3 linked regions of the Arabidopsis thaliana genome follow. The protein of the gene in region 2 interacts with the protein of the main gene of each other region in a pairwise test. Each region holds a gene or a part of one and is shown on either strand. Other genes may lie near its edges.

Region 1 (11,180 bases), on a different chromosome or scaffold from region 2:
TCTTCTGCTATTGTCGCATTGCGGGTCTGCTCGAATTTTACACTCTTCACAGGTGCTTCTTTCTTCTCCTCACCCGTTTCCTTTTGATGTTCCTTTATCTCTTCACTGATATCTAAAGTCCTCTTCTCACCTTCCAGATCTTTCTGCGGTTCTATACTAATCGCCAAGTTATCAGACTCGCTCTCTGGCTTCACCTCATGCAGGTTCCCACCAGAGAGGTTATCAAGATTATGACAAGCGTCATCAAAATGTGTCTGCAGATTGCTACTCTTGTCCAAAACATTTCTGTCCAAATCCTGCAATGCCTTGAGTTTCTCTTCCATTTCCTTCAGCTTGTTCCTCAGATCACTCTTGTCGTCTGCTAACAACGCCTTATCTGTTTCAAGAGTACTGATCTGCGTCTGAAGACCGTTGGTCTCGTTTCTTAGTCTCTGTATCAAAGCAGTCTGCGAGGAAACCGCACTCTCCAAGCTAATCACTTTGTTCACAAGCTCATCGACTTTCTCAGCCATATCTGTCCCATTGAGCGATGAATTCGCACCAGACTCAAAATGTTCTCTAATCTTCTCCTTAACAGATTCCAACTCTTTCTTCTTCCTAGACATCTCTTTGATCTCATGATCCAACTCTGCTGTTCTTCTAACTTCATCACCATCGTCTTTCGCAAAGACACTTTCATCACCTAGAAACTGGCTTGCCATAGATCTTAGCTTCTCTTTAGACTCTTTAATCTTCACATGCTCTTCTCTAGCTTCTTCATAAGACTTCTCTTGCTTCTCCTGCAACTCCACTAGCTTCTCCTGACAAGACTTTATCGCAGTCTCGGTCATCAATCTCCGAGCTTCCTCGTCTTCAATCGCAACACTCTCACCAAACTCATCCTGCAAACCACAGATCCTCTCTTGTTTCTCCTTAATACCTTTTTCAAACTCCCAATACTTAGACAAACCTATCTCATAAGAACTCTTCACAAACTCCTTCTCCGTCTGCAACGCCAAAATCTCTTTCTGCAACTTATCAATCTCCCCCATCGCCTCAGGCTTACTCAAACCCGAGCTCTTAACAACAACATTCGTAGAACCACCCGTGTACTTCATAGATTTCCTCGGCTGAAGCTTCTTCGTAGCCACTCTAACCGCACTCTTCAAATCCTTAACAGGCAGTTTGGGAACATTAGGGACATTAGCACCAGAAATATTCGATCTTTTAGCAAATTTAGACATATCAATATCATCATCCATGGCAAAGTTTGGAACTTGATCAGGAAAAACAGAGGCGATCGTCGTGTTAGCATTTTGAAGCTCTGTAGAAATATGATCATAACGTTCAGCTAAAGCTCTATAAGCTCTGTAAGATTCTTCAACGAAGCTAATGAGTTCTGGTCTCTTCTTATAATACATCTCTGCACGCTTCGCAAACGAATCTCCATCTTCTTGTAATAGCTTCAACACATATTGAACCTTCTCTTCAATATCTACAAATTCATATCCAAAACAAAAAATAGATCAAACCTCAAAGATCTCAACTTTTTAGAAACAAACACCTATATAAAGAGACATGGATTCAAAAGGAGAGACCTTGAAGGTTTTGTTCGAGCCATTTAGATTGTTTGGTTCGAATATGACTCGCCCACCACCATGAATACGCATTACTCGCAGCTCGTTGCAGCATCGTCGTAAAGTTTTCGTTTTTTCAACTCTTTTTGATCGTATTCATTCAAATTCCCAGAAAGATTGTAACTTTGATATGTGTGTGAACCAACAATCTCTCTCTGTAGAGTCTAGATCTTAATAAGAAAAGAAAAAGAAAGAGAAAAGTTTCGGTTTTTAGAGAGACCCACAAGGAAACTTAAAGGTCTTTTTTGGTTGTAAATCAAAATCAGAATTGAGGAAAGAACGTGCAACAATTGAATCTCTTTTTTTTTTCTTTCTTTCTTAGAGAAGAGCGATCATGGGTGGGAGCAAACTTCGCTCTTCTTTCTCTCTCTCTACCTTAATAGTATTTTGGTAAAAATATTTTAAAGACTATTAAAAAAAAAATTGTTACAAAATTTTCAATATTTGATTTATATGTACGAATGGTGTTTACACGAATGTTATAGTGCCAGCGTCGTGGTAGGAGAAGTCGGAAGGATTCTCTTCCGATGATTCTTATGAATCATCAAACGTTACAGAACATGTCAGAAATGTATGATTTTATTAAATTAAACTAGATTTTAACCCGCGGTATACCGCGGAGACAATTCATTTTTTAAAATTAATATATATAAAATTTTGTAAATTATTTTATAGTTTACTATTGTTACTAAGTAACGTCCTGCCAAACCCGTCCTTCCAAACCCGTCCACAAAAAAAAACTATTTATTTTATTAATATTGATCTTATTTATAATATGTTTATGAATCATTGTCAAAATATTTTAGTCGTTGCGGGACGTTGAACCCACACATTTTTCGCCAATTGGTTAATATATATGTTCATTCTTAAAATTTCGAATCACAAAATATGACGAAATTTTTTTTGAGATTTTTTTAATTTTATATATTATATAATAATGTTAATTAGTTTTGATAGATTAAACTTTTTATAAATTCAAATATTAATAATGTTTTATGAAGTTTAAATATATAAATAATAATATTTAAAAAATTAATATTTTTTGCCTTTTAGGTAATGATATAATAACTCTAAAAGCAAAAATTTAGAAGATTTAAATCTTTAAATAAATATTTTCATGTCTAAATAATTAATGTGAAGTTTATGCTAATTTTAAGGGATTGATGTGAAGTTTGTTTGGATTAAATTTGATTGATAATGTGATTGACAATTTAAATTAAAAATTTAATGTAAAATTAATTATTTTGGAAAAAAAATTTAATGTTAATGGCATTGAGTTGTAAATAAATCTAACTCTAAGATTTATTTGCTAAAATAGCTGCAAAAATGTATATATAGATTAATCTGACAAAGAATTTTAGTGGATAAAGGAATGTGAAAATGTCGTTTTGTTTAATAAAAAAGTTGTAAAGATGTTGAAGCAAGCAAAGAATTTAATCATTAAGTAATTGAATCTTAAAGAACTTTTTTCCCCTTTGTGACGGTTTAAACATAAAACCGGACACGTTTTGATGAACCGGTCAAAGGTCGGTGTGTAACGATCCGACCAGAACCTTCTTTCTTGTGCAAAGTATCTCTAAAACGTCAAACCTCATTATATAGAGGCCCATTTACTGAATTTTGAGAAAATCTGAAACTTTTTTAGATTTTGGACGTTGTGTAACGAATGATGAATTAGAAGCAAAGTTTCAAACCATATTCATATTTCTTGTTGCTAACATAATGAATCGTATGAATATGGTTTGAAACTTTGCTTCTAATTTATTATCATAGAACTCAGTCTCATCCAACCGCACAGCTCCAACTAAACTACAAATGTGTTTCTCAAACAAGACACATTGCAAGTGTCACACACACAAGTAAGATCATCAATTCACCAGAATCATCACCAATGAAGACACTTGAAATCTCTGGTCTGAGAAAACTTGTAAAACTTTGCAACAAATTCAACAAAACAACAAGATGAATTCGAATCACACTTTTGTTACACTAAAATTTCTAATGAGACTGAGTCCTATGATGATTATTAGTTATTTGAGGCATCACTAAAATATATTTTTGATCCCTAACCAAGAGTATATCGATAATCAAAATTCTACAATATTTTATATTCTAACTTTCCATAACGAGAAAGTTTATCGGTGACAAGCGTTACTAACCAGAAATGCAGTGAAGAGAGATCATACATAGTGAAAATCATAAAAATGAAAGCCTCTTCCATAGGCAGAAACTTACACAAACATTTGAGAATTCACTACTTAGACATTGTCTCTTGTTACTACCGAGTTAAAAAGATTTACATTACTCTCCTCACTCCATCAACTTCTTTGAATTGTTCCATCTCTAACCACCATACGGTAAGCTGCACAACACCATACATTAAATCAATAACTTATTTTTTAGAGTGATTTTGTAGATGATTAGATTTGTGCCAGAATTTTCAAAAAACAAACCATAAATAAGTGGTGTTTTTTATGACAGGTAATTTTAACAAATAGCATGATATCATGTAAAATATACAAAATAACATGTTATTTGTTAGAATTACAAATATACAACAAATAAACCAAATTTATTTACGATTCTGTGTCATCCATATCTTGCAATGCCAATAAATATGGACAACATACATGTATATGGTCGTTTAAAGTATATATTTTTATATTCTTTGTCTCAATTTAAAAACAAAAAAAAAATCATGTAAAGCTATCAACTCAAAAGAATGTAAAAAGAAAGGGTGATTAATTGGTTACCCGAGCCTAAGGGAAGTGTCGGAGCTCTCGGAGTCAACAGGCGCTCCGGTAGAGTTTCCGGCGTTAGTAATAGACTCCGACGACTGTCCTTCCTCGTACACAGCAGCGTTCTCCGATTCAGCACCACCGTGTGCATGCACATTGTTACATATCTACACGTAACCAAAAAAAAATATTCCAAATTTAACATTAAACTGATAACAAACATACAAAATTCAAAATAATCAAGACTATATATATATCCACGTACTTGCATGCCAAGTCGCTCGTTCTCTTCCGTTAGTTGCGTTCCCTGCAAAAATCAAGACAAAACATATCATTAAGTTCTCTAGCTAAGTATTTGCATTTTGTGTTTTTAGTGGCACCATGTGTTTTGAATTTCTCTAGAGATCAACTAACTACGAATGAGCAAATCTTGACATGAAGCCTCGACCAAACTATATATCAAACAAGAATTAGATATATATTCGTTTATGGTTCCCTGTTTCAAAAAACAAAATGAAGATGAAAAAGAAAAAACGCACCAAATCCATGCATGCACACTCGTAGACCTCTAGGACCCTAGAGACTAACTAGCTACATGGTTACCTTTAGTTTTAAAGACATTTTTAAATCGCGCTATATCACTTGGTTTATTCATTTATCTCACAGTATGATCAAACATATGTGTTGTAGACAACTGGGGATTAAATTTAGGGGTGTGTACGTTAATGGTAGACAAAAGAAAGGGATTTGTTATCAACAGAGAGGGTAAGACACATACTTGCTGCCTCAACCGCTTGTTCTCATCCATCAATTGCATTCCCTGAACACCAAAAAAAAAGAGAAGAAGATGAAAATTTTGGATCTTGAAACTGCCAAAATTAATATTGAAATCATCAAGTAAAGAATAAACGTTATTTTGGTTAATTATTACCTTTTTCTGAAGTTCGCTGATCTCACTCATAATCTTGTCACTCTGCAAACACATCTCGTATTAGTAAATTGCATACTCGTAAGCTTAGAGAAACTTATACATGGTATCAAGTAATTTTCTTAACAACCTTTGTTTCAATCACACGCGTCAAACCAGTTTCAAGGGCCTTCTCTAGCTGCTGAAGCTCTTCAATGTCAAGTCCTTGAAGTTCCTCTCCTCTCATTTGCCTATATATGATCATGTAAACACACAGTTAGAAAATGATAGTGGTTGATCAAAAAAAAAATTAGTTAGAAAATGATAGTTAGTTCAAAAGTCATAGAATATACATATATAACGTACCTTAGTCGGTGGCTCTTGTCCGCAATTTCTTTACTCATTCGGGCGTGATCACTGTTCTCAACCAGCTAACAGAATAAAACATTGATTTAAGCTCTTAATCATATCCATAATGATCTAAAGCTCAACTCTCTACACAGGACTACTCTACATGACTACTACATGGATCGAGTCTAATTAATCATATGCAATAATATAAAGTTTTGTACCTATTAATACAAAGTTTTAAGAGATTCTTGGTCAATAAATACAACAATCTAAAACATATTGGTAATTCAACGGAGTAATACTCGATTTTGCAAGTTACAGAAATCGGGAAAGAAAATGTGTGGTCGTTTCGAGAATGTAGCTAACCTGTAACTCAAGAGATGGCTGATCAAGCTTCTCCAAGTTCTTTGACTGCAAGTTATGCCTCTCTAGGACTTCCTTCATGCTTCATAATATAAACACATTCCAATAAATAACTTATTATAAACAACTATACTGTTGATATTAACAATGTGCATATGTAAACACCGACAATATACCAAAATCTAAAATCAAAAGATGCAAACCAAATCCACAAAACACATTTAATCCCAAACATGTACATTATTTCATGTTAACACTATCGTTTTCAGTTACATATATACACAATTATCTGTGAAAGTGTGTATGTCCCCGAAGATAGGAACTGAGCTGATAACTAGTGGGTCAAAAATCCAAAATCGTATCTCTGTAATACGATAAGTCATTTTAGATCCCTAATATCAATAATATCTCTCTAAATGACTTTTCCCAACACTAATAAAGATTCCAACATATCTATACATATACATATATATATATATATTATTTTTAGATTACTTCTTCAAAGGGAAAGCTTTATACATCCACACATATAGATACTTCCTCATGTTATGGTACCCACATATTTCTATATAAATATGACATTGACGGCTTAAACATATCATACCACAATATCTATATACATAGATTTATACATGGTTGACACAAATACCTACTATAGAGCATGTATTTATATACTAATAATATACATATATGCATATCCAGATTTACATCTTTTTGAATATTACCGTAGTTAGATACCTTAATTTATCTAAATACAGAGTTTTACTATACACTTTATATATGTCATTTATGGTCATGATTAATGTTTCTAACAACTATTTTAATTATATAAATAGTTAGTGGTCCTATAAAGATTGATACAGTAAACTCCTATGTATCAGATATACATCTAAAAACTCTTTAAAGTTTTTTGTCTGGATCTAGACAAGATTCCTTCGATGAGTTATGAGAAATCTATAGAGAGGGAAGTTAGAGAGAGAAAGAAAGACCTGGAGCTACAGAACTCGAACAGTTTTCCGGTGGAAGAGAAGATGATGAGAGCGACATCGGCGTCGCAGAGAACGGAGAGTTCTTCAGCTTTCTTGAAAAGCCCTCTTCTTCGTTTCGAAAACGTCACTTGTCTCGCCGTTGCGTTGTCGATCTTCCTGATCTGAATCTTTTCTCTCGCCATCACAACGAACAAAAAAACCCTAGAAGCAAGAGAGAGAGCTTAGGTTTTGATTTTAATGGATCTTTCGAGAACGGGATTGATTTTGATGGATCAAGATTCAAGAATGAGAGATGATTAAAGAGAGAGTAAAGAGAAGAGATGGAGGAGGAGGAAGAAGAAGCCAGAGGAAATAAATTTTGTGAGAGAGAGAATTTTTGCTAAAAAGGGAGACTTTAAAGAAGAGAGAGAGAGTGACAAGACGACTGAAATGGAAAGTAAATCGTGTTCTTTTTGCTAAATTTAGAAGAATAAATATGATTTCAAGACAGTAAAAACCCTAGTTTTTGAAAGATTTGAAAGAAAGAACACACTCAGTCTTTTGTGAGAAGAATTAGATCTAGTCGATGAATCAACAAGGAAATTAGAGAGGATCAAAAGAAAAAAAACTCAAGAAGAAGAAGAAAACTAAAGGAGAAAAAAAGCTAAGGGAATATATTTAATTTTCCACCTCAAAGGTCGAGGAGAGAAGAAGACATGAGAAGGTTTTGATTGGTGAAGGATGAGATATTTTCAGGGAGAGGTTTATTAATTTTATAATACTATCAAGATGATGGGGTTTCTTAAATGATTATTTTTGGAAAGAAAACGATATATATTATATTTTTAGTTTTAGTTTTTTTTTTGGATATTGGTCTGTGTGTGGTGGTTATTGGATATGGTGAGGTAATAGGATTTATAAGTCTCCAATGAGATGAGAGAGAGAAGAGAAGTGTGTGTTTGGGTCAGTGGGGAATTTCTTTTTATAGGGAAGCATAAAATGAGTTGTCTCACTTTGTTCACTTATACTCCTTGTAACTAATTGGTTGGTATTTACTGCAAAAACTAACTAGAAGACCTGAAGAACATCAAGGGCTACAACGTATTTTCATTTTTGTAAATCTACGTACTATATGGTAATGGTACCTCATAACAAAATTCAGAAAGAACAAAATAATATCAACTGTATATTATTTTTATTTATGTAAAAACATTTGGGAAGATGACATTTCAGAATTTTTCTGAGGACAATGTTTTGTTTTTACTGAAAGAAATAAGTTTGTGAGTTCGGCCTTGGTTTGTAAGAATCCAACTCGGAAATGACAAAATAATTTGTTAATTTCAAAGACATTAGTGCAATAATTTTTGAAAATTTAGTAGTCAATCATGTGGCATATAACTTGTCGAAAAATTGTGTCCTTAAAAAAAGAGGTTTGTAACCTAATGAACCATATCTACTCAGATACATGTAGTCCATTATACAATTACAATCTATGCACTAATTTGGAAAGTTTGTCATGCACAAATAAATTTTGTTCAATCCCAGTAACAATTACACACACAATGGGGGTATCAATCATCACTGAAGTATTTTTTTATAAAACCAATTGAATATGTAACTCAAAATAAAATTTAAATGAAATCACTTTCTTACGAGGTTATTTATCATTTAACATTTTAATACATAAGCTCAACATTACAAATCACATATACTTCACCAACGTCAACAACAGAACCAAACATATGATTTCAATCGCCACAATCATCATTCCATAGACTAAAAAGCAATTTACAAAACCGTGATTAAAGGTAAGAAAATAAAATTAAAGGGTTTTTAAAAATAAAATAATGTTTAAGCATACCTTCATACGAAGAAACAGTGAATAGAGGGACCCTCGAGGCACGAGCCAGAGTAAAATAAAAAGTGTCGACCACTAAAATTTTTCAAAGGGACCCAAAACCAGACCCGAAGCAGCCACAAGAAATCTGATTGGGACACGATCCATTGTCCGTACAGAATTTTATTTCTAAATTAAAGTTTTACCCAAATAAAGATACTCCACGCAACTACTACAAACCCATTCTTCTTCTCTTTATTACTCCAAGTTTGCAATAATCTACCCTTCAAGAATACATGTGGCTCGTATCACTCACCCCCTATTTGAGTATTATTTACTCTTCCGACGAAACTCTTGTGTTGTATTATTGCGAATTTATTATGATACTATATGAATTATGAAGTTGCAAACGGTAAAAAAGTCATATGGTTGATGTGATTAATACGGTGTTAAATATAATTATGGTTTGCGTTAATTTACTGTAAACTCTTTTCTTTTCTTCTTTAACTCTTTTCTATCTAATTGGGTAATCAAGCAAATATAGTTGAATTATAATTTGAAATTTTTGTTGACAACAAAATATTAATATGGTTTGCGTTTGTGTTCTACGAGTAATGGAATTATGGAAGTTTTTAAAACAAAAATGTAGTATTTTTTGAAAATTTTGATGACGTATATTAGAAAACACTAGAAAACAAAACCTTCTAGTGGTTAAAGTTGCTAGGAGAATAACTATAAGAGAGGTGGCCTGATCGATATTACTTATTTCGGCATAATACATATTCCTTTCTAACGTATTTTAAACAAAGAAAATCGTTGAGTTTTTTTCAGCTTGGTTTGGTTTCGAAAAAAAAAAAGTTTGTTCACTCACAAAATTATTATCAAGTAATGTTTATTCATATTTGTCATGGTTTGGTAAAAGTAGATTAAATTTGGTAGAACATCCATCAATTGGCGTTTGGAACCGCATGAATCATTTATATTTGAAATTGAATAGTGTTTAGAGGCGCACGTGACACAACTGGTGAGGTCTTTGAGTTTTGATTGGTCAAAGTGTCAGAGTTTTTATGAGTAGACGACTCGTGACCTTTCCCTTAACAGTTCCAAGCCTCTCTAATGAAACATTGCACCTAACCTTTTAGCCATTTTAGGCTTCTTTCTTTCTACACAGTCCCTACACTACACACTCTCTCTGACACATCAAGGAAACTACAGTCACCGTTATCATAAAGCGGAGTCCCTAATGGGCTTTTTATTATTATTGGGCTTTTATTAGGCCCAAATTTTCCTTACGAGTAAAATAAGTATTATTTTGGTTCAGTTTCTCGCCGGATCCTGAAAATGACGACGGCGGCGATGACTTGTACGAGACTGACGATATTTACGGTGGCCGGAATATTACTTCAGATTATTGGCCTCTCCATTTTCGTATTCGGTTTCTTCCCCGTCAAGCCGACTCTCTCCGGCGTCAGGTACTACTAAATCAATAACATTTGAAGTCGAAGAAGAAGAATCTACGCTCTATTGATTTGTTTATTTGAAATGGCAGTGGCTCGGAGAGCTATCGAGATCCATTCTGTGATTCTTCTCTGATTTCGAACGAATCGGAGCTTCATCATCCAGAGAAACTGAGATTGCTGTACCAGGTATTTGTCTCTTTTGTGAATCCAAAAACAAATGTGTAAAGTTCCCTTTTGAGTTTGATAGTGGTGAATTTGTAGGAGTTATCTGGAATCTCTTCCAAATATGATCGACTGATTTTAATGGTATGTTGCACTTTGTTAAAATTTTGATTTTGATCTTTGTGAGAGAGTGTTTTTGAGGATGTTAAAGCGATGCTAGTTTAGGTTATTGATGGGCTACCTGCGGAGTTCGTTCTTGGGAAAGATGGTAAACCTCCAGAGAAGGTTTTGAAAGAGTCTATGCCTTATACTCAGTCACTGTTAGCTAATGGAGATGCTATTGGTTACCATGCTAAAGCAGCTCCTCCAACTGTTACCATGCCGAGGTTAAAGGTGTGTGTATAGTTGTGATTAAGTGGATGATCACAGTCTAAATGAATTTATTTGCTTGCTTAGTTGATAGAATTCATTGTTTTTTTCAGGCAATGGTTTCTGGGGCAATTGGTGGTTTCTTGGATGTTGCTTTTAATTTTAACACACAAGCTCTCTTAGATGATAATATTCTTGGTAACTATTAGTTTTCAACAATGAGAAATTTTTCATGCTTGCAAACATTGAAAGAAAAGCTATGTGACATTGGTCCAAATTTACCAGGTCAGTTTTTCAGGATTGGTTGGAAAATGGTGATGCTCGGTGATGAGACGTGGCTCAAGTTATTTCCAGGGCTATTTATGAGACATGACGGTGTTAGCAGTTTCTTTGTGAGTTAATGTGATGT
Region 2 (9,906 bases):
CCAGGTAGCTTTTCGTACCCTAAGTTTGTAATTGCTATAGCCTTATTGCTCATCTTTGTAACTCTGCAAATATGGATATGTGCACAGACCGCAAATTCTCCTTATCAATATAGAGGAATTGCCCATGCTTTGGCAACTGTCCTGCGAGAGGAAGGTCCACGGGCCTTGTACCGTGGTTGGCTTCCATCAGTGATTGGAGTTGTAAGTCTTGTGTTTTTTTTTATTCACTCAATCGAACGTAATACTACAAATATTTATGAGTTGATGAGACTCTTTTGATAAATGCAGGTTCCATATGTGGGCTTGAACTTTTCGGTGTATGAGTCTCTAAAGGACTGGCTAGTTAAAGAGAACCCATACGGTCTAGTAGAAAACAATGAGCTGACGGTTGTAACGAGGCTCACTTGTGGTGCAATAGCTGGAACAGTTGGTCAAACAATTGCTTATCCACTGGATGTGATTCGTAGGAGAATGCAAATGGTCGGGTGGAAAGATGCTTCCGCTATTGTAACAGGCGAAGGGAGAAGCACAGCTTCACTTGAATACACTGGTATGGTCGATGCATTTAGAAAAACAGTTCGTCATGAAGGCTTTGGAGCATTGTACAAGGGTTTGGTCCCCAATTCAGTGAAGGTTTGTTTCATAACAAAACTCCGTTTCTTGATCTTCTTATTTGATGAACTCAAGAAAGTGAAGTGTTGTTTGTGTTTCTTCTGTAGGTTGTACCATCGATTGCGATTGCATTTGTGACATATGAGATGGTGAAAGACGTTTTAGGAGTGGAGTTTAGGATATCAGACTGAGTCATTTGATATCTCAATGCCGTCAAGAAAGCGCACTTCTATTTTTGTAGCCAGAAGAGAAGTTCAACAAAGTTAGGGGGGCTTTATTTATCTCCTTTCAACATCCGGTGGGAAGGATAAATGGCTATAGGGGCTTAGCCAAACTCTTTTTTTTTTTCTTCTTCTACACTTAGATTGGGTTTATGCTTTTATGCTGAATCAAATAAGTCAGTGGCCAACTACATTTGGTACTGCAGTTTGTGCTACAACATGTTTGGGCTCCTCTTTTCTCATTCAATTATTTACACTCTTGTTATGACCCTTATTGGTTACTTTGCCTATTTACAAAATTCATGTGCTTGTGTCATTTTTATGTACCTTTGATCACACACATGTTATGCACCTTTGTTAGATGATGTAAAAATGATTGAGAATATTGGATCGTAATTTATATGAAAGTGAAAAGTGAAAACAAGAAGGGAGAAGAAAAACACAAATAATACATACATACACAGTGATCTTTCGTAAAGCTGAACTCTTGCCACATCTTTAAACGTTTTGAATCCCGACCAAAAAAATAAAGACACATCAATCAATCATCATAACTTATGAGTGCAATTTAATCCTGCATTGAAATTAGAAACACAACATTAATATTCTAATTTTCAAGATGAACATTAAAATAGATTTCATATACATTTAACTTGGATAGGTACGTACCATTTAAGCATTTTGATGGTGCATTTACTCATCTTTGAATCAAGCGTTTGTAATCTCACGCCACCGCAACTGATAGTAACCCCCACCGTAACAATCTTACGCCTTCCCACACCCAATCCTACCTTCGTTTTAGCCATCACTTTCACCACCAACTTTTTACTCTTCATGTCCGCTCTTAGCCTCTTAACCGTCGGATCATCCACCTGTTGCTTCTTCACTTTTATCGGAACAATCACAACCGTCCGATTCCCTGGCTTCTCCACAAATCCTTTGACTTTCGTTGACCCGAGACTCGTTTCGAAATCATCTTCTCCTACACTCACCGCCACGTCAACGTTACCGTAATAGTAACGTAACTTCCCGTTAGGGTTTCTGAAATCAAGCCTCGCTGTAGCCTCCGCCGTCAACTGCGATAAACCGTCGCCGGCTTTCCCACCGGAAAAGTTGAAATTGCTGACGCGGAAAGAGGAGAGACGTACGACGGGGAGTCTCGGGCTGTAATAAAGAAAGAAAACGGAGACGGTGAGGATAAGGAGGAGAATGACAATGGCGACGGTGATGCAGACGCAGCAGCAAAAGACGCGGCAACGACTCCATTGTCTCTTCTTCGTCGGATAAAACGCCGCAGGAATGGCATGTTTTGGTGGGCGACGAAGCATTGATGATGATGATGAAGATGAACCGAGTGGAGTTTGAGGTTGCGAGTGGAGCTCACGGTAGCCTGGTGGTTTTTGAAGCACCGGTTTAAGTAGAGTCTCTCCCGCCATTTCTTAGTCTCCGGTGGTGGTCGTTAAACTTCTTTGATGATCTCTGTTCTTCTCTTCTCCATGTAATGTTAAGTTTAACTATAACTACAAAGTAAAATTGAGATTAAATTTTGAATAGTCAGCTTTCATGTCTTATAAAATATTACAATGTTATGATTTTGTCTATAATAAAATAAGTCTTGTGTATCCTGTCCTACCAACAAACACAAATTAAGTAATTTGATTTTTCCGACACTTTGGCCACTTACTGAAATTATTTTGGCTCTCTGTAATATGAATTGCTCAATGTTTTTTTAAAATATTGGACTTGGTCATGAGTTTATGGCCTTTGGTAATGAATACATTTGTGTCTAGATTTCTAGATGACTTCCATATTTTTTCATACAAATTCTTCTTCAAACATGCATTATTCCAGTAATCAAACATCCCAAGATATTGAACAATGACAAATATGGAATTAATCAGACCGATTTTAGTATTCAATTTACGAGGAATCTCACCAAATTATCTGTCAAAAGTACAAACAAACACTCACGTTTAGTGGTTAAGGGAAGCACGTCGATTTTGAAGACTAATGTGATAAATCTTCTTTTATATATCACATAAGAAAAGTGTGTTTACGAAACGAAAGACCATCAAATATGTCTCCCCTTATCTCTAATACATTTGCTTATATAACTAAACCTATCTATCACCAATTATGTGGTTGCAGCACACACCAGAGAACACCGAATCTCTTAAACCATATTACATCAATTTCTGCTCACTATGCAGAGAGCTACAAATCTAAGAATAAAAACAAAAAGTCTCCTTTTAAGTTACAATCACAACCCAAAGGAAGAAATATCGGGTTCTCATTGTTGCGGCCACGGTCAGCTAGCCGCGACAGGATCGGTTATCGGACTTGCATTTAACAGTTGATGCTGCACAGTTTTGCTACCTGATACAGAGTTGTTCTTATCAACTCGAGAGATCAGGTTCTCTGTTTTCCCTGTTGCTTGCGCTTTCAGTTGATCCTGCAGAGGAATAACTAGCGTTATTATGATCAATAGACTTATGATTACTGTTCAAAATGCGAGTAGATTGTTACCAATATAGCTTCGTTCTCCAGCCGTAGTTTCTCAGACTCATTGTTTAGCTGGCCTAGTTTAGACCTCAGAGACATGTTCTCAGCTACTAATGCGTCAACTTTGACAGATAGTTGTTCTGTTTCAGCCTATGTGAACAACAAACAATCCATTAAGTAAATATGAAAATCTATCAGCTCTCATCATTAGTCTTTAGTTACAAAATGTTTAGTAGCAATCACCTGCTTCCTCAGTCTTGACCTCCTAGCAGATTCTCGGTTTGACTGTTTTCTCTTCTCTCGTTTAACCTCTTTTTCATTCTGCAGATAAACACACACTAACACCAATAAACAAACAAAAGGGGATGTCACGAATAAATGAAGTCAACGAGAGTGGCACAAGAATACTATACCCATGGCTGTGGCACACCGTTCATGCCAGCAGAGTTTTGGAAACTCATTGCTGTGGGCATAACAGGAGTCCCCATAGTCACATCGGGTTTCTCATTTTCACCTCTAAGAGGCAGACTGTTTTGAGATGAGGGTCTTTCACCTACCAAGTACAAAAGCCATTAGCTTTAAATAGTTGTAAACATTAAAAGCATACAATTATTTGCGTTGTGTTATTTTTCAGGAAGAAATACCAGTGCTTGGTGATCTTTGTTGCCTTCTTTTCCTCCTAGATTGTTCTCCCTGTGGTAATAAAAAAAGAAGAATATGAATAAAGATCGCAAAAGATAAATCTAAACCTAGTTCAGAGCAGAGAGGACGAGTCCATACCCCAGTTGTATTACCATCACTACCATTGCTAGAGCCATCATTCTCGGAGCTAGTTGATATCAAAACCACGTTAGATTCTATATATCTAAGTATCTATTGAATAAGAAAGAGTTGAGGCTAGTTTGACAAACCTCTGAGAACTCCTATGTTCACTGCTGCTATGTTCAGCACTCCCAACTTTGTTATTGCTTATTGACATTGCAAGTCCATCGAACTCTTTCAGCTTTTTCATGAACCCATGATCTGAGTTTCCAGCTGAATTAGCTGGTGCATCAATGGTCAAAGGGGTTGTAACCTGCAAACATTCTCATACATTCATATCCAATATCCATCATACTGCACATTTCACACAGAAACATCACAAGACAATTGACTTACTCCAGATGCTGATTGAGAAACAGGACCTTGTGGTTGTGAGCCCTGGTAAAGTAAAGTAGGAAAACACAAATCAGTAAATCTGGTCTTTTCAACTATTTGTTGATATAAAGTAACCACTAAAAGGAAGGGAGGATTACCATTTGAACACCAGGATGAGCATAAACTCCACCAGGAGGGCAAAATGGTGGATATGGTGCTCCATAAGGAGCCATCATTGGCTACAACAACAAAGAAAGATCAAACTCAATCCAAAGTAACAGATATACATTCAACAAGTTTAATATAAGTACCGATGGAGACGCCCACATATAAGGCGGTGGAGCATGACCAGGCGCCAAATTTGAGTTGTAATATTGAGGTATACCAACTCTAGGCCCATAATATGCCTACAAATATCATGAGAAACAAGCTAAAATCACTCAGGCTAATAAAACACAATTCACACAGCAGAAACAAAACAAGGTCAAAGAAAAATCACCTGCATAGCAGCCCAGTCATGATGATACACATGAACATTACTCTGCTCCTGTATATATACAAAGTAAAACAACAACAACAATCAAACTTTGACTAAACACAAATCTGTTACTAAACCAATCAGTTTCCATTGATTCCATTACTTACAGGAGCAGCAGCTTGCGATGGCTTATCAGAGTTGTTAGTGGGGTTTCCTTCTTCGTTGCTACCCATTGCTCAATGCAGAGTAATGACACAGTAACTTTATAAACAAAAAAATGATCAGATCTTTTAGCAGTTCCTCTGTAAAGCATAAATCTAAAAGAACAGTATTCAATTACACCTAGATCTCGCAATTGTGGACATCAAACTATAAATATAACAGAGATCCGAGTAACTATAAAGTATAGCACCACTGAATCTACCAGTAAAAGATTCAAAGTCGAGTTTTTTCCTCTGTCAAAAGTTCAAAACTATCACCAACTAGTAGAGTTACACAATTCAATCTACCTTTAACTTTCCTAGTAATTTTCTTCACTCAATACACACTTTCTCGAGAAAACAGAGCGTTCATATATAATCACTCAGATATTCATTGAAGAAAATAACGAAAACCAAAATCCAAAAACGTACCTTGAGTCTCAGGGAAAACAATTCGAATTGAACCCACAAAAGAAAAAAAAACAAATTCGCTTCTCTCTCTTAGTCGGAGAGAATGGTTTCTCTCTCTAGAACCAGAGTTCGGTAAAAGAAGAGAGAGGAAGGAGAAGAGAAGAAAAAGAAGAGAGACACAACGGAGCGCCAAGAGGCTGATGAACACGTCACCGTACACGTGTCATGATCTTGAAGGGTTTGCAAAGGGAACGCATATGCTGAGCTGGCAACCCTAGATCTGCGCTGGACATTTTAAATATCTGACTTAAATAATGATTGGTACACGTAGTCATAATCGCCACCGTTCATCTTGAGATCTCTACGTAGACTTGACGTGCTGCTGATTTTATTCCTTTTAAATAATGAAAATACAGAATTAAACTATAATGTATAATTCATTTGAGATCCACAGATGACGAAACGTGGACTACCAAATCAAGCATATTTGTTTTTACCATTTAATCGACGGCTAATATTGATTTCATCTACGGTAAAATATATCTTTTTTTAACCAGAAAAAGGTTAGAGTGGTCCCCACTGTAGGATCTACTGACTTGTGTCGGCCGTTAGTGGTTTTATAAAGCTGACGTGTCCCACTGAATAAGGAATACCGTTGTGGTCCCTACGGACAACGTGGGATTCGACGCCAGCTCATTTTTTAATTTTTTCTTGAAATCTTTTTTAAAATTTTAGACGATGACTCAATCTTCGCCACGTAGGATCCACCCAATAAAAAAGGGTTAACAAAATCTTATCTTTAATGCTAAATTAGTTGAGATTAATCCATGTTGTTTAAATCCGAAATGATGCATATAATCTTGTTTCTTATAATCATTAAGATTTAGACTGAAGATCTAATTCCAATTTAAGAGAGTCACTAAAAAAAGAATGAATTCAATTTCAGACAAATCCGACAAGGTCAAGGTGACGTGTTCTTGATGCCAATTCTAGTGGGAGCCACTTGACGCGTGCAGTTAGACTCCCGGTCCAAGACATAAATTTACGTTAATACCCTCCTTTATTGGGTTATTATTGGGCCGTAGTTGAATTATTAGACCCAACCTTTTTATCCTGTTCTTGATTGGCACATACTTTGCAAAAAGTTAACAAAATAACTTTTATTGCAAGGCATTACAAGAGAAATGTCAAATTTGGTTGTTGCATACATGACATCTTATTCATATCCAATCCATAAATTGATGTGTTGTTATTCAAACTGGTCTTTTGATGTATTGTTAGACATATCTCATATATATTGAACCCTTGGAATCAATATAATAGATTGGGCTTTATTTATCTTTTATTGGGCTTAAAGGGAATTGTTGGACTAAAAAAACCATTAAGGCTATAACACACTAATTACACGTACAATGAGAGTGAGAGTCACGGACGGGATGATTACAAGAATCATATAGCACCAAATATCTCATCCTCACTCTCACATACAAACACACATTTTGTTCACACAGAGATAGACATGGCTTCCGATATAAACAGAAGAAGATCGTTCTCTCTTCTAGTCTTGATTATTGTGATGCTTTATGGGCATAAAGGTGATTCAAAATGTGATTTCGAAGCAATTTTCAACTTCGGAGACTCGAATTCGGACACTGGCGGATTTTGGGCTGCTTTTCCTGCCCAATCTGGTCCATGGGGAATGACTTATTTCAAGAAACCAGCCGGTCGTGCTTCAGACGGTCGTCTTATCATTGATTTTCTAGGTAACAAATGACTAACAAATACTCTCAAAATTTTCAAAAAACGTATAATATGACAGCAGTATCAAATCCCCTCTACAAAGTATAATTTTTTGTATCCTTTAGTATTAAAATATTTTTTAAAAATATTTAAGATATACTTAGTAGTTCGAGCGTTCAGTTATCCATTCAGTTTCAGTTCGTATCTGTTTGGGTCTAATGTTTAATATCTATTCGCTTATTTTGAAATTTGGGTTTGGTTCCGGTTCTTTCGGTTTAAATATTTAGTATCCATTCGGTTATTTTGCTTTGAATATTTTCGGATATTTCGGTTCTTTTTGATTTTTTTTGGATATTTTCAAGTATTTTTACTATTTAGTCAAAAAATAACTAATATTTTTGAAAAGATAATTATATTTCGGATATTTTCGGTTACTCAAAATATTTTGGTTCGGTACCGACTCGGTTTTCATTTCTTCGGATTTGGTTCTGTACGTTCGGTTCAATTTATTTTTCCAGGTCTAATAATTAGGATTTTAGATTGAAATTTTAAACAAAATCTATAATACTTACTGTTATTACCCAAAAATTATCACTATAGTGCTAAACGTAGTGTTAAATTATTTTAGCCAAATCTCTTGGAATGCCTTTCCTAAGCCCATATTTGCAATCTATTGGATCGGATTTTCGACATGGCGCAAACTTTGCGACGTTAGCGTCCACGGTTCTCTTGCCAAACACGTCTTTATTTGTCTCCGGAATCAGCCCTTTCTCACTCGCTATTCAGCTGAATCAGATGAAACAATTCAAGGTTAATGTCGACGAGTCACATTCTTTGGACCGACCAGGTATATATATCTATAGTCTCTAACCGATGCATGTATAGAATGATCATGAGTATAATAAACAAATGACGTATACTTCCTTGTGTTTTAGGATTGAAGATCTTACCGTCTAAAATTGTTTTCGGAAAATCGCTATACACGTTTTATATTGGTCAAAACGATTTCACATCCAATTTAGCCAGTATTGGAGTTGAGAGAGTGAAACTATATCTTCCACAAGTCATAGGCCAAATTGCTGGAACGATTAAGGTACAAACCTCACCACAAGGTTTTTGGTTTATAGAATCAAGTCTTTTATAAAATTAATACTATCTCGAAACATTTGTATGGATATTATCTTAACCCACTTATAATTCGTATTCTCCATTTGGAAATCCGATTTTTGTATGGTTCATATCCTCCTCTTAAGTTATTTGCTCTTGAATGTAGGAGATATATGGAATAGGTGGTCGGACATTTTTGGTATTGAATTTAGCACCGGTTGGATGTTACCCGGCGATTTTAACCGGTTACACTCATACCGATGCTGATTTAGACAAGTATGGATGTCTCATTCCTGTAAACAAAGCAGTCAAATATTACAACACGTTATTGAATAAGACATTATCTCAGACCAGAACCGAACTAAAAAACGCTACCGTAATTTATTTAGACACGCACAAGATATTGCTTGATCTCTTTCAACACCCCAAATCCTACGGTACGTTATGTCATAACCTTATCTGGTTTAGTTGTACTTCAACCGATAAATTTTCAATTTTTGGTATTTTACGTAACCGAATCCTTTTGTTTTGCTTTCATATATGATAATATCTAAGGTATGAAACACGGTATTAAAGCTTGTTGTGGATATGGTGGACGTCCATACAATTTCAATCAGAAGTTATTTTGTGGCAACACCAAAGTGATTGGAAATTTTTCTACGACGGCCAAAGCTTGCCATGATCCTCACAACTACGTGAGTTGGGATGGAATTCATGCGACGGAGGCCGCAAATCACCACATTTCCATGGCCATTCTCGACGGTTCGATATCATATCCTCCGTTCATACTCAATAACCTATGTTCGCCTTAGCTTTGTATAAGATCATTAGTTGTTAATTTTTTAAATATGAATTTCTAAACTATCCACCAACTAAGCATGTTGTGACAAGCAAAAGTATATAGATAATTAGATATTATATGTATATGTTTAAAATTGCGTAATATGCTTTACAGGTCGATTGTTCTCCTAATCATTTGATTCTTCTTAATTTATTGGATTACGAAATGACATTTCTTTGTCACCTTTTTCGTGCATATCAGATTTGTTTAAAGTTTACGTGACGAATGACGATTGATCTTTTATCTTGTTGTGCCGCCGTATTTTGTATGGACATTACTTGTAATACTATATATATCAGCTATGCGTTAACTATACTCATCAAATACCACATATGATTTATTATATCAAAGTACTTATTAATAAATAATTAAATTAACCTTATATTCAATTGCACTTGGGTGAGAAAGCCGTTAGAAAAAACTCCCGCTATAGAAGAAATGTGGTAGATTTGAACCGAAATTAAATATTTTAAATAATCCAAATCGTGAAATGTAATATTATTACAATATATGTTATCAAATCAAGTATAAAGAAAAACTAATTTGCCAATATTTTTCATTAACATGATATAAATGTTAAAATTTATTTACCTATACTTCTTGAATCATAAAGTTTATCTTATAAACTTGGGAGAGCAATAAAGTCTTCATGATACT
Region 3 (9,680 bases), on a different chromosome or scaffold from region 2:
AATGACTTGGTTAGTGCTTTGGTTTTGTTTGATAAGATGGAAAAGGAAGGCCCCTCTCCGAACAGCGTTACTTTTTCGGTTCTGATAGAATGGTTTCGTAAGAACGGGGAAATGGAAAAGGCGCTTGAATTTTACAAGAAAATGGAAGTCTTAGGTCTTACTCCTTCTGTCTTTCATGTCCACACGATAATTCAAGGGTGGTTGAAAGGTCAGAAACATGAAGAGGCACTGAAACTCTTTGACGAGTCTTTTGAAACCGGTCTTGCAAACGTGTTTGTATGTAACACTATATTATCCTGGTTATGCAAGCAAGGTAAGACAGACGAAGCTACAGAGTTATTAAGCAAGATGGAAAGTAGAGGTATTGGACCGAATGTAGTTTCTTACAATAACGTGATGCTTGGCCACTGCAGACAGAAAAACATGGACTTGGCTCGTATTGTTTTTTCAAATATACTGGAAAAGGGTCTAAAGCCGAATAACTACACGTATTCCATTCTGATTGATGGATGTTTCAGGAATCATGATGAACAAAACGCTTTGGAAGTCGTCAATCATATGACTTCTTCCAATATTGAAGTCAACGGGGTTGTATACCAAACAATTATCAATGGTTTATGCAAAGTTGGTCAGACATCCAAAGCAAGAGAATTGTTGGCAAATATGATCGAAGAAAAACGGTTATGTGTTAGTTGCATGAGTTACAATAGCATTATAGATGGATTTTTCAAAGAGGGTGAAATGGATTCTGCGGTTGCAGCATACGAAGAGATGTGTGGCAATGGTATTTCTCCAAACGTCATAACTTATACCAGCTTGATGAATGGGTTATGCAAAAATAACAGAATGGATCAAGCATTGGAAATGAGAGACGAAATGAAGAACAAAGGTGTCAAACTCGATATTCCAGCCTATGGTGCTCTTATCGATGGGTTCTGCAAAAGGAGTAACATGGAAAGCGCATCTGCTCTGTTCTCTGAACTCCTTGAAGAAGGATTGAATCCAAGCCAACCTATATACAACAGCTTGATTTCTGGATTTCGTAATCTGGGAAACATGGTAGCAGCCCTTGATTTGTACAAGAAAATGTTGAAAGACGGTCTACGATGTGATCTGGGTACATATACAACACTGATTGATGGATTGTTGAAAGATGGAAATTTGATCCTGGCCTCTGAGTTGTACACAGAAATGCAGGCGGTGGGTCTTGTCCCTGATGAAATCATTTACACAGTAATTGTAAACGGTCTTAGCAAGAAGGGGCAGTTTGTAAAAGTGGTTAAGATGTTTGAGGAGATGAAGAAGAATAATGTCACTCCGAATGTCCTTATCTACAACGCGGTGATTGCCGGACATTATAGAGAAGGAAATCTCGATGAGGCTTTTAGACTTCACGATGAGATGCTTGACAAGGGTATTTTACCCGATGGTGCTACATTTGATATTCTAGTTAGTGGGCAAGTCGGAAACCTCCAACCTGTACGTGCAGCAAGTTTGTAGTCTGCCAAAACCAGACCACATTATTGACTGATGACTTAGCTTTGGCTTTTCGTGAGACCCCGATAATATGACTGCTTAAGGTGTGCACTTTTCATTTTGCACGGTTGTAGTATAAATGTTGTTATTCATGAAAGAGGGAGACTCTATAGACTTTCTGTAAAGAAACTAAGAAGGGCCTTCTGTTTTTGTCAATTTTATAAAACATAGAACGAATTCAAACCAGAATAATTTGACTCTGTATTCTTATACTGAGCTTCTTTATTTCCCAACTGAAACCAGGTTCCAGTTTTTCAAGGTCTTCTGAGGCATCTATGTTGGTGGGTGATGAAACCAGTGCACTGAGTCCTTATTAAACTCTTCATATGATTCTTCTAGCATATCGTCTGCTCGAGTAAGGCTACTCCATGTGAACTGGAACAGGAAAACACAAAGCCCTTTTGAAATCTGCCAGATTCAAAACCCAGAAAGGAACCTGCAACTGACACAGAGAATAATATCCACCGGTTAGCCTGCGAGGTTATAGTTATCGGAACCGTTAAGTTACAAGATTCGGATTATCTTTTTATTTGTCTGTCTTTTGCCTGCTTCTGAGATCAACTTTGCTCATAAATGATGGTTTTGGGTTAATCAGTTTATAGCTTGGTCTAAGACTCTTAGTTGCTACTGCCCACTGGTGGTGATGTGCTTTTAGCTTTTTTATGTGCAAATTCTTCGTGATGATAACCACGTTTGGTATATAATTCGAGTTGAAGTTAGAACAAACACTTCCAATATTTCTCACTCATTAAGGAAAGAATCAAATTTTATCCTTGTATACAATAATCAGATAGAGTAAAAATATATATTAGTTAAGAGAGTGTAGAACGATCCTATGGATCAAAACAATTGGACATGGAGGAAGAGGAACTTGTCATGCTGATAAAAGGGAATCCTGATGATGCTGCAACTGTCTTCAGAGGTTTCATGGTTGCCATGGGTAAAAATATCGATGATTGCTTACCGTATAAACCCATCGTGGACCGATTGATACCCTTATAGTAATCGCCTGTTGTCAACTTTATACTTTCCGATGATGATGAAATTCCGAGACTTAGTTCAAGATCATTGTGACCATTTCCTATAAAAATGACAATGTTAATGGATAAGTTGCTCAAATGGAGAGTGCTAAAAATTTTATGAAAAGGTTAGCTAGCTTCCTTGATCAGATTTAAAGTATATGTAAAATTTGTGGTTAGTGTTATATATAGATTGGCAATGTTCACTTAAATTTATCAACCATGCCTTATAATAAACTTAGTTACATTCTGAGTCACACCATATTAATCAATTACCTTTGATATGGGCACCAAACTTCATGGCTCCTTCTCCCTTTCCCAACTCATTGTATTTTATTGCTGCTGCATCCCATCCCCTACGAATTTTGCACATACGTATAAACATTTCTAAGTTTATTCACAGCATAACACTAACTCTTGTTTCATTTTTTTTTTTTAACAATGGTATTCTGTGAAGCATTTACAACGAAACATAAAAGGTAAACTTAAGAAACCATCATCCCCGACAGTATCAAACTCTTGAAACGGACGATGGTTTCAAGCTTGCACCTAAATGGAAACAAACGTAACGTTGGCTTGGTATAGTTTGAGGGGGATATATAAGTAAAAGTATTTGAAAATTGCCATTCACTTAGAAAATTAAATTTGAGTAGAAAATTTTGTACCTTCACGAAGTTTTTTTTTTTTTTTTACTACTTAGTTTTGATTAATTGTATATATATGGACTAATTGATGTATATATGATTGAACTGGATAAAAGTTATTCTTTCTTTTAGTAGTATATAAAAATAAATATTATTAATTAGCTAGCTAGTTTATAACTTTTTTTCAGCAAACTTTAAAATTGTGTAAGACGACAATAACTTTTCCAAAAAGTGAAGGTTAGGCTTTGAATGGTAAAGCACTAGCTAGATGAATAGATAGAATAAAAATAAATTGAATATAGGTGAAATATAGTTAAGATAAGTGACGGATTTATAATATTGTCATCCATGATCCGCCAAGTGAAATGTATTTTCCATGATGTAGATTGTGTAAATAGTAAAATTAGGCCATTTCATCAAAAAGTAGGGAATATTTCAACCATATTTTATTCATACTAATAAGACTAACTATTTGCACTTTAAACTTGTCAAAAGATTACGTGTCTAACAAAATGGTACCTGTTTTGGAAGAGATGAATCTGATCATGAGTTTTGAATTGGGTGCATTTTTGAAGAGCCAAGCCTTTGTATTTGGAACTTCCTCTTCCGAAACTCGCACTCTCTCGCCTAAGTGTTTGCACGAACTCCACCTTATTTAAATTCTTCATCTATACATAAATTGATAATTTTAAAGATCCACATGTATTATTTCGAACTATACAGGGAAATGAATCATCTTCATAACGTAATATATATATATATATATATATATATATATATATATATATATATATGTTTAACCTTATCGATGTCATGCCTATAATCATCCACGACGAAATTGATGTCTGCATCGAGACCACGGAATTTGATAGCAGCTCGGTCGTAAGCCCTGGTATTCATTTATGAATAAGTCAAATTGATATTAATTATTTATTGTCTTCAACAAACTCTAATGTGTATATGTTGACAAAATTAAAACATATTCAAATGACGAATGTTGTAACAAATAATGTGTATATATATATATATTTTACCTTGCTGCTGCGTAAGCAGTATCAAACCCGCCTGTTAAAACGAAAATTAAGTCAAGGAAAAAAAGTTAGATTAATACAAATAATCAACTTGTGTTCACTTAAACGTGAAAGACAGAAGTAACAAACATAGGTAAATGAGCTGTAATAGTCTATTATGTTTTTTTGTCTTTTTACAAAAAAAAAACATACATCCTTTAAAAAAAAAAGAATAGAGGTAGTTGACAAAAAATAAACTTTTTTAACAGACGTTGTCAGAGAAGATCTACAAATCAAAATTATCACAAAAATACGATTGTTTTAAAATTCATCGTTTATGCCTAAAAATAGACACACACGTAATTAAAGATGACCCAATAATTAAATAAAAATCTGATCTACTTACCCAAATAAACTTGCTTTCCACAATCCCTACAAATTAATCAATTCCAAACCCAAAATTAGAGATAAATATAGCAATAATTCAACAAATAACAATATAAAAATGCAATGATAATATTAAAAATGAAATATAATTTGATTTACCAAATATGAGATTCCCAACGACCGGTGCGACGGTAAAAAGTGACGCCACGATATTGGGAGCTACGAGACCTTGGTCCTCTTCTGCTCTTCTTCACCATTTTCTGTGTATTTCTTTGTAAAGAAGAAAGATTCAACCAGTGACTGTCTTCCACGGAGAATTCTATATTCCGACGAGCATCAGCCACCACCGGAAAGAGATCTCCTGTTTCTTTATGAGGAGGAGGAGGAGGAGGAGGAACAAGGTCATCGTCGCGTTTGAGAATTCCAAAAGCGATGAAAGCATCTCTCGCTGCAGAGTCTGTTGTGGAGGAGGAAGATGAGTTAGATTCTTCTTCACCGGTGGTTGAGATCATTAATGGTACTTTCCGATCTTGATCTTCGTTATAAGAAGAAAAGATCTTTAGGTTAAGATCCAACATGATCGAATCTTTAGCTATAAACGACGTTGTTCTTTTTTCCGGCGAGAGAGAGAGGGAGAGAGAAAAAAGAGAGAGGATAAGTGTCAAAAACGAGAGAGAGAGAGAGTTCTAAAAGAGGGAAGAAAAAAAAGAACGTGGGACGTGTTCACTGTGAAGGTTGCATTGGATACACTTGCCCTTTATTTGCCTTTTCAACTCTTTTTTTTTATATATAAAATTGATTTCTATAATTATATGATTGTACTTGCCTTGCCGATGTATCGAATAAACATATTTTGTACTATATATTAGTTTTCATTTTTGTTAATTAAATATGGGAGAGCCGTAGATAGGGTTGTACGATGAGTTTTTATATATTAACACTTTTGATGTTGTAAACTCAACCGCGTTAATACGATGTAATAACAAAAACAAAAGTTTTCTCTTCCTTTTAAGTGAAGTCGACCTGTAATTTTAAAATAGTAAACAAAACTAATGCCATCAAATAGGTGAGGAGAGTAAAGTATAAAGATACTAGCTTATACTATTACTTATGTTCTTTAGCCTTCTACTTGGTAAAGAGACCTCGTGAATATAATATGATAGATTATTTTTCCCTCGTAAAATACAGCTACTTGATTTATCTAATGATACATCTTTTGATCAAGTCATCGACAAGTTTAACAAAATAGATAACATCATAAAGAGTTTAAGAATTTTTTTTTAATGTTGTTTTAGTATTAAGATCAAAACCAAAAGTCAAACCTTAAAGGACGTATTATATTGTGATTGGTTGAAGAGTAAGTAGTTTTTAATTTCTATGCATTATATCAAAAAACAAGCGTTATTACTTTTATTTTTCAAACCAAAGCATTCTAATTTGATATAGTTTAATGCCGAAGAAATTTGTTAATGCATGCTCGAATGTGGAATTGTCTGTAAGATTATAAATTTGTTCTTAATTGACAAGTGTACGTTATTAGGCCTAGTGTGACCACAAACAAAATATAATTGAAAATAAGATAGCCCCATCAATTATAAAAGTACTAAAAAGTCAATATCTGAAATTTTCAACAACCTAAATCTAGCAATATTAGGAATTTGCCGACTTTTACAAATTTTCAATTTATCCTTAATTAGCAACAGATTATATAGCGATTATCGATGCGATTATGTTTGTTATTGGTAACACAATTTCTCAGCAAAATTTAGAATTTTGAGGAATAATGAGCCGTTGTTGTCAATTTTTTTTTATTTTAAATGTTATTTCTTAATCATTACTTATTTTTATCCTTCCTTACATAAAATGACCTAAATATCTTTGATTTTCGGAAAACGTAAGTTAATGATGAGAATGAATAGTAGATGGGTAAAATCCAATAAATAATTTTTTTATTTTTTTTGGTAAGGATAAATAAATTTTTATATTATATCTGAATTTGTAATTTCTTCTAACATGTTAGTAAATTATACGATTAAAAAAGAAAATATGAAACACAATTCAACATAGTTATTTCACATTTTAAAGCATTCAACAACAAAATTAACCGGTTAACATCGTCTACTCTCTGCATTTTAGTAATAAAATTAGGTCATTATTTTTCGATAAAATTCATTAAATTTGGCATTTAGCGACAACAATTATTGATAGGTCCCTCGTGTGATTCCAACGTGTCAAGATATGAAAAAAAATCTAACGGTCAGGGATTTTTTGGTACTTCGCGTCGCAATGGTATCTTCTCAACGTGTTAAATAAACCCACATGTGATTTTGTTTCTCTATGCGTCATTTAACGAATCAGGACAATCCTTTCTCTATCTTTTTTTCTTTTTCTTTTCTTTATTTTGCCAAAGGACAACCCTTTTCCATTTAAATTAAAGATTACGATATATGGATAAAACATAGCAACGAAAAATTAGAGAGACCGACAGATTTTTTTTGTTAGTTTTATATTATATTTTATTTATCACACATTTTAGAAGAAATTAAACCTAGTTGTTGTGCTTTCGCATCCCAATATACATAAATCACAATCAACTGAGATTTCGTAAGAGTTGATTTAGGTTATGGTTTAATCTATAAGAAGGAGATACCATTTGCATTTCATCTTTATACTGAAATATTGGTGAAGAAAAGGAGTTTCAAATGGACTGTCATAAATTTAAATAAACCATTTAAAATATTTTAACTATCCTTCTTTAACACATTCATCCTCAAGCCTTTTTTTTCTTCTTCTTTATCACTAGTGGGATGGATCTTCAATTCCAAATTATTGGAGGAACAAGAAAGATGATAATCTAGACCACAACATAAACTATACAATAAAATGATAAATGTGTTATAGTCAATGAATAAAGAATAAGAGAGATGGTGTGATGTTTACACGTTTGGGGCCTAAACCAAAAAAAAAGGATGGGTCCAATATGCCAACTACTACTATTGTATTGAGAGTAGGAAGAGAGAGAAACCTTAATGGAGACAGAGGGACAGTGGGGTTATGTCAATTGTCATATTATTCAACCACTCACCAATCACTCACTCCAAATCTATATCTCTCTTTTTACAAATAATTATGATAGATTTGATGATAAGTTGGTTCTCAAATCCCAGCCGTTCAATTTATCCAGATATGCAAGAAAATATTAGATTTTAAGGAATCGGCCTTTCCTTATTTGGTAAGACTAAATATCTCTGTTCATTCTAGTTCCAATAGGTAAAAGAGTAACCTTTTTTCTTACATTATTAATAACTTGCATTGCACAATAACGTATTACCCTATAATTCACAATGATAATGTGTTTTGAAGTCATCTACACACTTCAAAGTTTATTACTCAATCGAAAATTGAAATATTGTCTACCACTCAAATTTCTTGAAATGGTTAAAATACTTGAACGTGTACTATATGCAAAAATCTCTGATATTTAACTGCTTTGAAATTTTTATCAGAATATTACTAGTGATGGGTCAATTTCTTTGTTAACCTTGTGCTTTATGCACTTATGTTTATAGTCTCTATTTTCTACACCTAAACAACACAATCTATTTGTAGGTTGCAACTCGGACCCAAATTTTTTGCTAAATTTTTTGTTGAAGTCTTATATTAAGCTAGGATTGTGACTTAAAATATGAATAAAACTCATATTGTTGGCTTAAAAAACGAATTAGGATGTTTGTATTTAGTAGGAACATAGTGTTATGAAACCACATCTGATAAACACATGATTTTAAAGTGTTTTAAAAACTATTCTAGCTTCAAAACCAGTTTCTCATTCATCCCGAATCTTTTTTTCCATCACATATATAGTAAATTCATGATAGAATTTTAATTTAACCTAAATATATATAGTTCATAGTTGGTTATGTTCAATCGATTAGAAGGGTTCTGTTGGATCCGAATTCGAGACCTAGGAACTACACCATGATACATTTGGGGAAAATATGATATACGTTAGTAGGTCAAACACAAATATTATCTAAGATTAGCCTCCGGCCAGAAAATTATGGACTTTGTATGTGAGGGAGATTGAGAAGCGATTGCTAAGATTAATAAATATGGGGCTTGTTGGTAGAGTAGATCTATAAAAGGGGTGATAGAGAAACGAGTGGAAACGCATGAAGCACGTTATAAAATTGAATAATTGAAGATTCAACCATATTCTTTGATAATTGGTGGGCATTTTTATTTTATTATTTGTTGTCAAATCTCTATATAAAGAAAAAAAATTGTTTTAACGTTTTCGGTTTAATGTTTGACGCATATATGTGGGAACAGTTTTGGGCGACGTGGTAGCTTCCCCTCCTCGTTTCCCCCAAAAGCCAATGCTTAAAATGACGAGAATACCCTCTCCAAAAAACCATGTGCTCCTAAGTCCTGAACTAGTTCTGATTCTTTTCTTTTAGCTATATAGGGAAGTGAGACTTGCGAGGGTGAGTATGTGACATCAAAATGGAAAACACTAAGCTACATAACCGTTGGACTAAAATGGTAATAAAAAGAAGCAGAACAGAAGTAGGTGAATAAAACTGAGAATGGAAACAAGAAACAACTGAAGAAATCGGATTTATATACGTTTTTGATCATATTCTTTGGTTCAAACTCTATAAATAAGTTTCTTGGCTTCTTTCTTATAAGAAGAATCGACTACACTTTAAGTTAAAAGACCACAAGCAATACACAGTTACAAGAAGAAAGAAAAGTAGTTCCAAGTACTCTCTCTACTTTAAGTTATAAGATCACAAGCAATACATAGTATTTAATAATTAACACAAGAGTCGAGCTTGGACTTTCTTCTTTCTTGGGCCTTCTTCTATTCCGATTCATCCCATTGACAAACCCAAAGCGTTGGATACTCAAATGCTCATTCGTAAACACGTATCCTCATTAGCTTTTTCTTTCCCATTTTGCTTGAATGTAACTAATTAATTTGGTTTTTTTTTTAATTAGTAAGTGTAGTATGTCAATATTGTACAACTAGATGATACTGATCCATTAGAGTAACACTAAAGTTACCAAAGTTTCATACA

Evidence for each region.
Region 1: the proteins of GBF2 (region 2) and SVP interact in a two-hybrid assay, tested with the Arabidopsis thaliana proteins (one large-scale study listed by BioGRID).
Region 3: the proteins of GBF2 (region 2) and SMZ interact in a two-hybrid assay, tested with the Arabidopsis thaliana proteins (one large-scale study listed by BioGRID).

Annotation. Positions count from the first base shown.
Region 1 is NC_003071.7:9,576,383-9,587,562, reverse strand, and holds SVP (K-box region and MADS-box transcription factor family protein), read right to left. Parts: upstream 7,917-11,180; 5' UTR 7,147-7,916; coding exon 6,965-7,146; intron 6,058-6,964; coding exon 5,979-6,057; intron 5,693-5,978; coding exon 5,628-5,692; intron 5,513-5,627; coding exon 5,413-5,512; intron 5,328-5,412; coding exon 5,286-5,327; intron 5,175-5,285; coding exon 5,133-5,174; intron 4,662-5,132; coding exon 4,620-4,661; intron 4,522-4,619; coding exon 4,370-4,521; intron 3,979-4,369; coding exon 3,960-3,978; 3' UTR 3,662-3,959; downstream 1-3,661. Other genes in the region: NET2D (Kinase interacting (KIP1-like) family protein), read right to left, coding at 1-1,474, 1,578-1,671; AT2G22530 (Alkaline-phosphatase-like family protein), read left to right, coding at 10,122-10,252, 10,330-10,426, 10,502-10,546, 10,628-10,795, 10,885-10,969, 11,057-11,163. UniProt on the Arabidopsis thaliana protein: Transcription repressor that inhibit floral transition in the autonomous flowering pathway, independent of photoperiod and temperature. Acts in a dosage-dependent manner.
Region 2 is NC_003075.7:478,788-488,693, forward strand, and holds GBF2 (G-box binding factor 2), read right to left. Parts: upstream 5,738-9,906; 5' UTR 5,583-5,737; intron 5,212-5,582; 5' UTR 5,184-5,211; coding exon 5,118-5,183; intron 5,020-5,117; coding exon 4,972-5,019; intron 4,880-4,971; coding exon 4,784-4,879; intron 4,712-4,783; coding exon 4,631-4,711; intron 4,536-4,630; coding exon 4,494-4,535; intron 4,411-4,493; coding exon 4,247-4,410; intron 4,165-4,246; coding exon 4,116-4,164; intron 4,029-4,115; coding exon 3,980-4,028; intron 3,889-3,979; coding exon 3,749-3,888; intron 3,657-3,748; coding exon 3,579-3,656; intron 3,486-3,578; coding exon 3,360-3,485; intron 3,286-3,359; coding exon 3,142-3,285; 3' UTR 2,782-3,141; downstream 1-2,781. Other genes in the region: ADNT1 (adenine nucleotide transporter 1), read left to right, coding at 1-4, 88-201, 289-633, 720-803; AT4G01110 (late embryogenesis abundant hydroxyproline-rich glycoprotein family protein), read right to left, coding at 1,389-1,407, 1,503-2,269; AT4G01130 (GDSL-like Lipase/Acylhydrolase superfamily protein), read left to right, coding at 7,081-7,324, 7,930-8,148, 8,237-8,394, 8,575-8,845, 8,964-9,220. UniProt on the Arabidopsis thaliana protein: Binds to the G-box motif (5'-CCACGTGG-3') of the rbcS-1A gene promoter. G-box and G-box-like motifs are cis-acting elements defined in promoters of certain plant genes which are regulated by such diverse stimuli as light-induction or hormone control.
Region 3 is NC_003074.8:20,371,349-20,381,028, forward strand, and holds SMZ (Integrase-type DNA-binding superfamily protein), read right to left. Parts: upstream 5,175-9,680; coding exon 4,756-5,174; intron 4,642-4,755; coding exon 4,616-4,641; intron 4,265-4,615; coding exon 4,234-4,264; intron 4,089-4,233; coding exon 4,001-4,088; intron 3,868-4,000; coding exon 3,719-3,867; coding exon of another isoform or gene 3,688-3,718; intron 2,914-3,687; exon of another isoform or gene 2,912-2,913; coding exon 2,832-2,911; exon of another isoform or gene 2,618-2,831; coding exon 2,370-2,617; downstream 1-2,369. Other genes in the region: AT3G54980 (Pentatricopeptide repeat (PPR) superfamily protein), read left to right, coding at 1-1,500.